Linked DNA regions of Bombyx mori. The protein of the gene in region 1 binds, or shares a complex with, the protein of each later gene. Links are inferred from orthologs where the notes say so. Each region holds a gene or a part of one and is shown in the gene's direction. Other genes may lie near its edges.

Region 1 (4,615 bases):
ATTATTACAACTATTTTGTATATAGATGCTGATTTTTTGTTTTGTCAGCTTGACGGTACCTACGTAGTGTACTTTGCTTTTTTTCTAGTAGCCTGCTTGCGAACTTGCTACTCGCCTCTTACCTTATATTAAATTATGAACTGTATTGAGCAATAGAATTAAAGAAATTAATTGAAACAGCAATGATAAGAACGCGAGATATTTTATTTTATGTGGTTGTTTATTATTTCTTTCGGTTTATTATTAAATATTATTTCTTCTTTCTCTGTCGAATCCGCGGCACTCGAAGTTGTGTCTGAATACACCATCTTGGCCAAATTTTTTATCTAGGCAGGGCCAACTTCGAGAAGGAAGCTGATAGGCGCGTACAGTTGGGCTGGGCTGCGTATGGAAAGCTCTGTCATATCTTTAACTCAGCAAACCAGCAAAGCCTAAAGATGAAAGTCTTCAACGATTGCGTGCTAACGGTCATGACATAATATGGCGCTCAAACGTGGACATTGACCGTAGGTCTGACTCGTAAGTTCAAAGTCACACAGCATGTTATGGAAAGGGATATGCTCGGAGTTTCTTTCATGGATCGAGTCAGAAATGAGGAAATCCGTCGAAGAACCAAAGTAACCGGTATAGCCCTAAAGATTAGCAAAGCTGACGTGGCAATAGGCCGGATATACGTATCGCAGACCCAATGACCGATACCCGATACCACATACCCGGAAGCGCAGTGCTGAACGTCCCGCTTCCCTGTGAACCGAAGACTTACGGTGATATGCTGGAGAAGATTGGATGCGGAAGGCGGAGGACCGTTCATTATGGCAGACTATGGGGAGGCGTACATCCAGCAGTGGAGAGATAAAGGCAGATGATTATGTAGGTTCTTAATCGTATTGTTTCTATAAAAGTCTAAGATGTGGTTTTCGAGCTCTTCCAAAAATTTATTACTTTATTCCATCTCACTTACTTAATTCCACAAAACATTCAATTTTATTCCTTAATTTCATTTTATACCTAAACTTTTTTACTGGGCAAGGAACATTGGTGTCGGCTTATTTTTTTAAATTATAATAATTAATAAATTATTGTTATGAGTATTAATTTTTTTGCCAATTTAGTGAATCAATCAAACATTTTTGATACTGGAGTTTATAGTTGTCTCGACTTTTTGACGGGAACGCGAGAAGCGAAGTTGTGTGAATTGTTTTATTTTGTCTATTTAGTGTTTCTTCAGGTTTAAATCTGTAATAACGGTGGCTTATTAACCTTTTAGTATCTGTAAAAGTGCACAAATGTGGGAAAATGAAACAAAGCCGATGGACGTAGCTTTTCGGGATCTTCCAAAATGTCCACTGAAAAAGTTTCAATAATTATTATCCACCATTTTACTGAGATTATACTTCATCCTATGTTATCTCATCTCATTTAATTTAATTTCATACCAATTGATTAATGTTTCAAATTAATCAACTTTGTTTTTTATTTCATTCTGTATTATCATTTTTCATAAGAAAAGGAAATAAACAATTAGTCGTTATGGTTTGATACCTTTGCCATTACAGTTAGAAAAATAGAACTTCTACTACTGTTAACTTAATGTCAACTCAAAATCTATGTCAAAATCTACGAGGCAAACAGCAAACACTCATAAATAAAGAATAATACCATTTGAAACAAAAAAATTGCAATGCAACTTGAGTAGCCTTATTAAACATTATACATATCTTAATTAAACTAATATTATGAACTTGGAAATGTAATTGTATTGTACTTCTTCGAACCATGTGTGATAGTGACGAACAAGGTGACCACAGCCGTTCAGGCTTGGATCTGACCGGGTTCTTGTTTGGTAATATTGACGAAAGGGGTCAGTTAGAAGATGATGGATTGCTAGATGGTGAATCGAAGCGAATGTTATCATCGCTTAGCCGCTTAGGTTTAGGGTCTATGCTCTCTGAAGTCCTGGAGGTTGAGGAACCAGTTAAAGAAGAGGAAGAAAAAGGTTAGTGTTTTTTTTTATCAATTTCGACTCTGCATTGTCGATGTTGAGTGTGTTACTACATTTGACGACACATTTGACTAAATTTGTCTAAATTTTGACTACATTTGAATAAACATGCCTTGAAAGTAAACCAGTAAATGTAATAATACTTTAGAATATGTGTTTGTAATTGTCACTACGGACCTTAAATGAATAAAATTAAAGGGGTAAAGCTAAAAAGAAGTCGTAGAATATCAACTGGGGATTTTCACATTTTATTCATTCTGTTTACACAAATCTCGAAGTACTGACCTGATTTTCATGTAGATTTTGTAGGTACTAGTGAGACAGAATATCTTGCTGCAGAAAGTAGGCTTTGCTTCATTACAGAAGAATGTTGCAAAAAATGTTATTGTCATTTAATTATTTTCGAAATTATATATAATTTATAATTAGTATGTAAGTACCTAGCTCTATTTGTATGTTTTCACTTCTAAACCACTATACTAAGTTTGAATTTAGTTTCGTGTCGAAATTATTACTGTATAAACCTTAGGAAATAATATGGCCTATATTTTGTCCCACTGCTGTAAATGGGTCTCCGTCACTCTTATATAAAAAGTAAATGGGTTGTGCACAGCTGTATTGGTAATTGAATGAAAGCCAAATAAAAAAAAGTAAAATAGTAAACAAATAGTTGTTGATTTTTATATTTCAAACCTATATTAGATATTAAGAAACCTTTTCATTAGTGTAAATTAGCACATTTTTTAAATGGTAACATGCACATAGACATCACATGGCAAATCAGTTTGAAGTCCCAAATGCCGAAATCACCTACTCTTGAAATGGAATGCTTGCTTATTTTCTAGTAAAAATATGCAGAACCTTTGCCTTACCTTTAAGTAGCTGATATAAAAGTTTTGAATTGGATAACCAATGGTATTATGAGAAATATGCACTTATGATGAGAATATGCACATAGATTAGCAGTGAGTAAGCAAACTTCAGTCATAAATCATACATAGTCAACAGTGAAATCCAAGTCAGGAAACTTAGAAGATAGTAGTTTCTTTTAGTATGGTTCAAACTACTGTTAAGGTTTAATCTCACATTTTCTTATGTCAACTGAAATTTTAACTTAACTTTTAAACTGAAGACATTATTAATTGCAGCAATGGTAAACATCTAATTCTTTATTTTATTTCATCAGACTATAATGAGAAAAGTCCATCGGCTGTGGACTTTTTTGACATTGAAGATGCAGCAGAGGATATAAAAGTATGTTTTTGATTTCACAAACCAACTTATAATATTGCATAGTATTTAATCTATTAAACAGCTATCTATTCTATCTAAACACCTACCATTATTTTAAAACTAATCACTAGCTCTGAAATAAATTTATGTTGGTGTTACAGGTAGAAAATAATGTGATAAAATTTGAAAATACTTCAGATGTACAAACTGTGCATAGCAGCAATGTTCCTGTGATTATTGATTCACAGAGTATTAAAGAGGAATTAAAAGAAGATACTTGGAGGGACACTGATATTGCAGGAGAACAAGAGGTACAGAGTACCAATGATGATGGCTATGAAGGTGATATGGAAGGTGATGGTGGACTTATGCCCCCTCCTTCGACAGTTCCGTTAGTATATTCTTTTCCAACTTATGAATGAAAAGGGAACAGATTCACCCAATTAGATAGAGAATTTCATTTTATGACAACACAAATTGCATAATTGCTAATAGTATGATATAATGTAACCAAATTAATGGCTTATATGTAAGTACCAATATGTTGCCTATTTCGTAATCAAAATTTAATTTAGTAGATATTGGTAAATACAGAAATACAATATGACATTAAAATAAAATGAAAATTAATTGTTTTACAGACCCCCCAAACAAGAAAAACCCAAAAAACTAGATACTCCATTGGCTGCAATGCTTCCATCTAAATATGCCAATGTTGATGTCACAGAACTGTTTCCGGATTTCAGACCAGATAGAGTGAGTAATATGTTGTTTTTAAATATTAACAAGAGCTGAATTCTCAAGCTAATAAATGTTATTTATTTGCTGTTTTCATGAAATTTTATTTGATAAATATTCATGTAGGTACTTCTTTTCTCTCGACTTTTTGGACCTGGAAAACTGTCCAGCTTACCGCAAATATGGCGCGGTGTTAAAAAACGTAGACGTCGAAAGCGCAGTGGAAGTACAGGCAGTGACACACCACCGATGGTTCCAGACAGTCAGGAACCTCAATATGCAAGTGACGATGAAGAGAAACTTCTCAAGTAAATATACTGAAGATTAAAACAGCATTTTCTTTATCAATAGCTTACTCTCTTATGTATGTATCCTTAAATTAATGATTTAAAAATAAATTTAATAACACTTATTTTAGGCCTATGGAAGAAAATCAACAGATGTCTAATGACGATAAGGGATTAGGCTCAGGAGACAAAGCACAAAGGCCAACACCGGCCCACTGGCGTTTTGGTCCTGCTCAAGTTTGGTATGATATGTTGAATGTACCAGAGACAGGTGATGGGTTTGACTACGGATTCAAATTAAAGGTATGGAACAACATCATGTATTTTTCTAAATATATTAATAAAATTATACTTT
Region 2 (3,832 bases), on another chromosome or scaffold:
ACTATTGACATGTGCTTGGGTAATACTTGTGAGGTTTATTCTAAAACAAATTTCATAAGCCGATAGTGAAGATAAATCTCATATTTACATTATCACAAGCAGTAAGATCCACAGTGCATTATTATTGGTGATGAACTCGTTCACTTAGACAAATGGACTGTGTGCTCACATTTCAAGGATTTGATCCAAACCAATGAAGCTCCACTGCCTGCAAGATTACTTTACATGCAGAGTAAATTCATGAATTGCATGTAAAGTAATCTTTATATGCAATGCATAAATTTAAAGCTAAAATCATTTCAAGGACAAACATCTAAATATATTCTTCATTTCCAGCACAAATAAATTTACAGTTCAGTTATCAAGAGATGCATCTTCACAACTGAAACGTTACTTACACGAACAGAAAAATTCCTCAGTAATAATAAATATAATAAATAATCATATACAAATCGAAGTCCATGATGGTCCAGGAAGAACTCAAGCACAAGTTCGAGCTACAGCTGGAGGGGTACTTGGAGAACCAATGAAAAGTGGTGAGAATGTTGAATAATTATCGAATTACTATAAACACCAATGAGAATGAGAGCCATTAAATATTAACCTGCATAGGTAGGTACCACCGTTCTACGTTTTTCTGCTGCAGTAATAAGTTCCTGTTTTAATGTTGAGACAACTGATAAACATTAGACTTGGTTTTTCTACCTCATGTCTTAAGATGTGTGATGACATTTAAGCTTTGATTTGTATGAGCTCTGATAACCACATATCACCATGAGAGCCACATATCATCATTGTTCACTCATCTATACATTCAATTGTTCTCCAGTTTTTCTTCCGGTATTTAAATAGTGACACTGATTCAATGAAATTGTAACTATACTGTAAATAACATTATGATGACATTGCATCACAGGGCCAAAAAATAAATGACTCTTAAGTAGGTAGGCCAAATAAATAGAATACATTTTATTATAAATAATTATATAAACGACAATACCTAATGAACACAAGAACAATGATAAGATTAAACTTTTTAAATTTAAATTAAACAAAAAATTAAATTATATAGAAAATCGCACCAAAGTGTATTATGGGCTCCTGAAAGAGCCCGATATTCAAGTTCTACCGGCTCCGGTAGAAGACGAAGAAGAAGTAGAAGAAACCCCTGACAAACCAAAAAAGAAAAAAGCGAAAAAAGATAATCTTTTTATGAAGAAACCAAAATCTGACCCAAATGCACCTCCTAATGACAGGATCCCTCTACCAGATCTGTAAGTCTTGTACTGATTGCAAATTTATGAATTTTTTAGAAAGAAATTGTGTGAAATAAAAAATATAGTATTATGTGCACATATTTTAATTTATTATTTTAGAAAAGAAATTGATAAAGTAGAGAAAGGCAAAGCACTCAGAGAAGCATCAAAACGTGTTCAGCTAGGACCAGACAGCTTGCCCTCTATTTGTTTCTATACATTACTGAACAGCGGACATACTGCAATTAGTTGTGATATTTGTGACGATTCCACCCTTTTGGCTGTGGGATTTAATAACTCAAACATAAAGGTATACATAGTATATAGCGAATGGTATTGATTTAATGTGTTATGATTTTCAGGTATATGCTTTTTACTAACTAACAAAAAATAGCATAGGAATGAAGCTGCTATTTTTAATTAGAGCTTTTGAAGGAACTGTATCGCCTAAGACTAGATTTTTTCTTTGAGAAGTTTTTGAAAAAAGAAAACCTGACTAGAGATGCTACCACGTTTTTCCCAATTTAGCACTCTTACTATTGTAGCGACAGCTATTACAGAATAGAAGATATTTGTCAAAAACACATCATCAAACACATAAGCACATCTAAGTTTCGAGCATTAGGACAAAGACACTCGCTCAGTGATCATTCCTAGGTCGTTATCCACAAAACTGTAAACCCAGTAAAATATGAAGTAACCGCTTGTAAATATAACGCTCTCATCATGTTTCCACTTGTGTACATATTTTTCTACATGACTGTAAAGATCAGAGATCACTTAATGCTAAAAAGCTTTTACGATAATATTTAAGTACAGTAAGTATACGAGGCTTAAATTAAGCATCAAAAGGTCGTTGCAAAATTCAAATCAGAGTTGTTAAATATTTTATTCCTAATTACCTCAAAGGCTCAGGGACATGCCTTAATACTAACGACATGTCGCAATGCTCGGGAAAAATCTGAGAAAGGGAGAGTTAGTTAATTCCAGGCAAAGCCGAGTGACACAATGAACTCTTAAATCTCGCTGTGGAAACCCTACGATAAGCATTGCCCTGTGGTAAGGGTAGTTATTAATGGTAGATCACGACTCAGAGCAGCCCCTAATAGATCGAAGTATCTTCGGGTACCCAATGATTGAAAACCATCCGAGAAACTAATCGATAATTCTAAAGAAACTATCTTCTCAAATTATAATTTGTCTCTAATTATTACTACCTAAACACTACTCATTCATCCTAAAACTCAAAATTATATTCTAATTTAAAATATTTTAGGTATGGACATTGACTCCCATTAAACTGCGAGGAATGAAATCTGCAGAAAAACTACAAGATATAGACAGGGAAGCAGGTATAAATTTGGTTAAAATATATAATTGTTTTCAAATGATTTAATCTAATATAAATAAATTGCTTACTTTTAGGTGATGTACTCGTGAGGATGATGGAGGAAAAGGACCGTGATACGTGCCGCAACCTTTTTGGGCACTCCGGCCCCGTTTATAAAGTTGCATTTGATCCTTTTAAAACAATGCTGCTTTCGTGCTCTGAGGATACAACTGGTACGTGGGTCCGGTTTAACAAACTTTGAAATCGGAATCAAAGTTCCCAGTCTGAACGGGGCAGTGAACCGGCTCTGTATTTTACAAATATATTATATTATCTCCTCGCGTCGTTTCCTCACTGCTGAGGGTCGTGACCATTATACTTCGACATGATTTTACTCCTTGTAATGTCCCGCCAGCGCCTCCGATTATTGGCCGCAGGAAGGGCGTCGTGGAATGGGATCTCGTGGATCTCGTGATATATGACTTATCATTAAAACCGGCTAGTAAGTTAATTAAATGAAATTTCGAATGTGATGCACTGTCCCTTTCCAACAATGCATGCGTTACCAAAAGAAACTTTGGTATTATTGCTTTTTTATTTCCCTTGTAGGCAGACCAGATACGGCTCCCCTGATGGTGAGTGGTTACCGTCGCCTATGGACGTCAGGAACGCCAGGAGCATAGTTAAGCCGCAGCCTACCGCTAAGTACCGTTAAGCTTGCACTCTGTCTGTCATGAATAAACTTTACAAATAATCAATTACATTACAAATAATCAAAGAATCAGTTCATGTCTCTATTTTTGAAGTATAGGTTTGCGATGACTATGATGAATTACAGTTTCCTAACAAACAAAAATTTGTTTATAGCTACATAATTACACCATTTGATGGAAAATTTATTGAAGACTGAAATAATATTGGTAATGGACCTACAGAAATTTCTTAGTCGGATTTCTAGTAACTGTAGTGGTTCGGTTAACACAAACTTGTTCGCGAAACGTCTACTTTTAACGATCTTACAGATCTTATTTTCGACTATTTTGAATTTATCTTCAGTCACTCAAAATCGCTGATGGAAGTCAATTATCTAATGCGGTACCCATTTTTCTACTGATGCCACGGTATAATTCGTATTCGGAAATAACATGATATTTAACTTTTCTAGAATTGTGAATAAAATTTTTCAAAGCAAACAATGCGAAAACACACAGAGAACACACTAAACTTAAACCAGAAATCACTCCCT

Evidence for each region.
Region 2: Taf1 (region 1) and transcription initiation factor TFIID subunit 5 share a complex: the UniProt entries of both Caenorhabditis elegans proteins name them as parts of the TFIID basal transcription factor complex. The link is inferred for Bombyx mori from reciprocal best matches to the Caenorhabditis elegans genes taf-1 and taf-5.

What each region holds. Positions count from the first base shown.
Region 1 is NC_085123.1:8,778,391-8,783,005, reverse strand, and holds the start of Taf1 (transcription initiation factor TFIID subunit 1), read left to right. Parts: upstream 1-1,621; 5' UTR 1,622-1,776; coding exon 1,777-1,996; intron 1,997-3,188; coding exon 3,189-3,256; intron 3,257-3,396; coding exon 3,397-3,626; intron 3,627-3,876; coding exon 3,877-3,991; intron 3,992-4,099; coding exon 4,100-4,281; intron 4,282-4,391; coding exon 4,392-4,563; intron 4,564-4,615. UniProt on the Caenorhabditis elegans protein: The TFIID basal transcription factor complex plays a major role in the initiation of RNA polymerase II (Pol II)-dependent transcription.
Region 2 is NC_085110.1:9,225,365-9,229,196, reverse strand, and holds part of transcription initiation factor TFIID subunit 5, read left to right. Parts: intron 1-336; coding exon 337-536; intron 537-1,072; coding exon 1,073-1,274; intron 1,275-1,376; coding exon 1,377-1,566; intron 1,567-2,532; coding exon 2,533-2,608; intron 2,609-2,681; coding exon 2,682-2,819; intron 2,820-3,832. UniProt on the Caenorhabditis elegans protein: The TFIID basal transcription factor complex plays a major role in the initiation of RNA polymerase II (Pol II)-dependent transcription.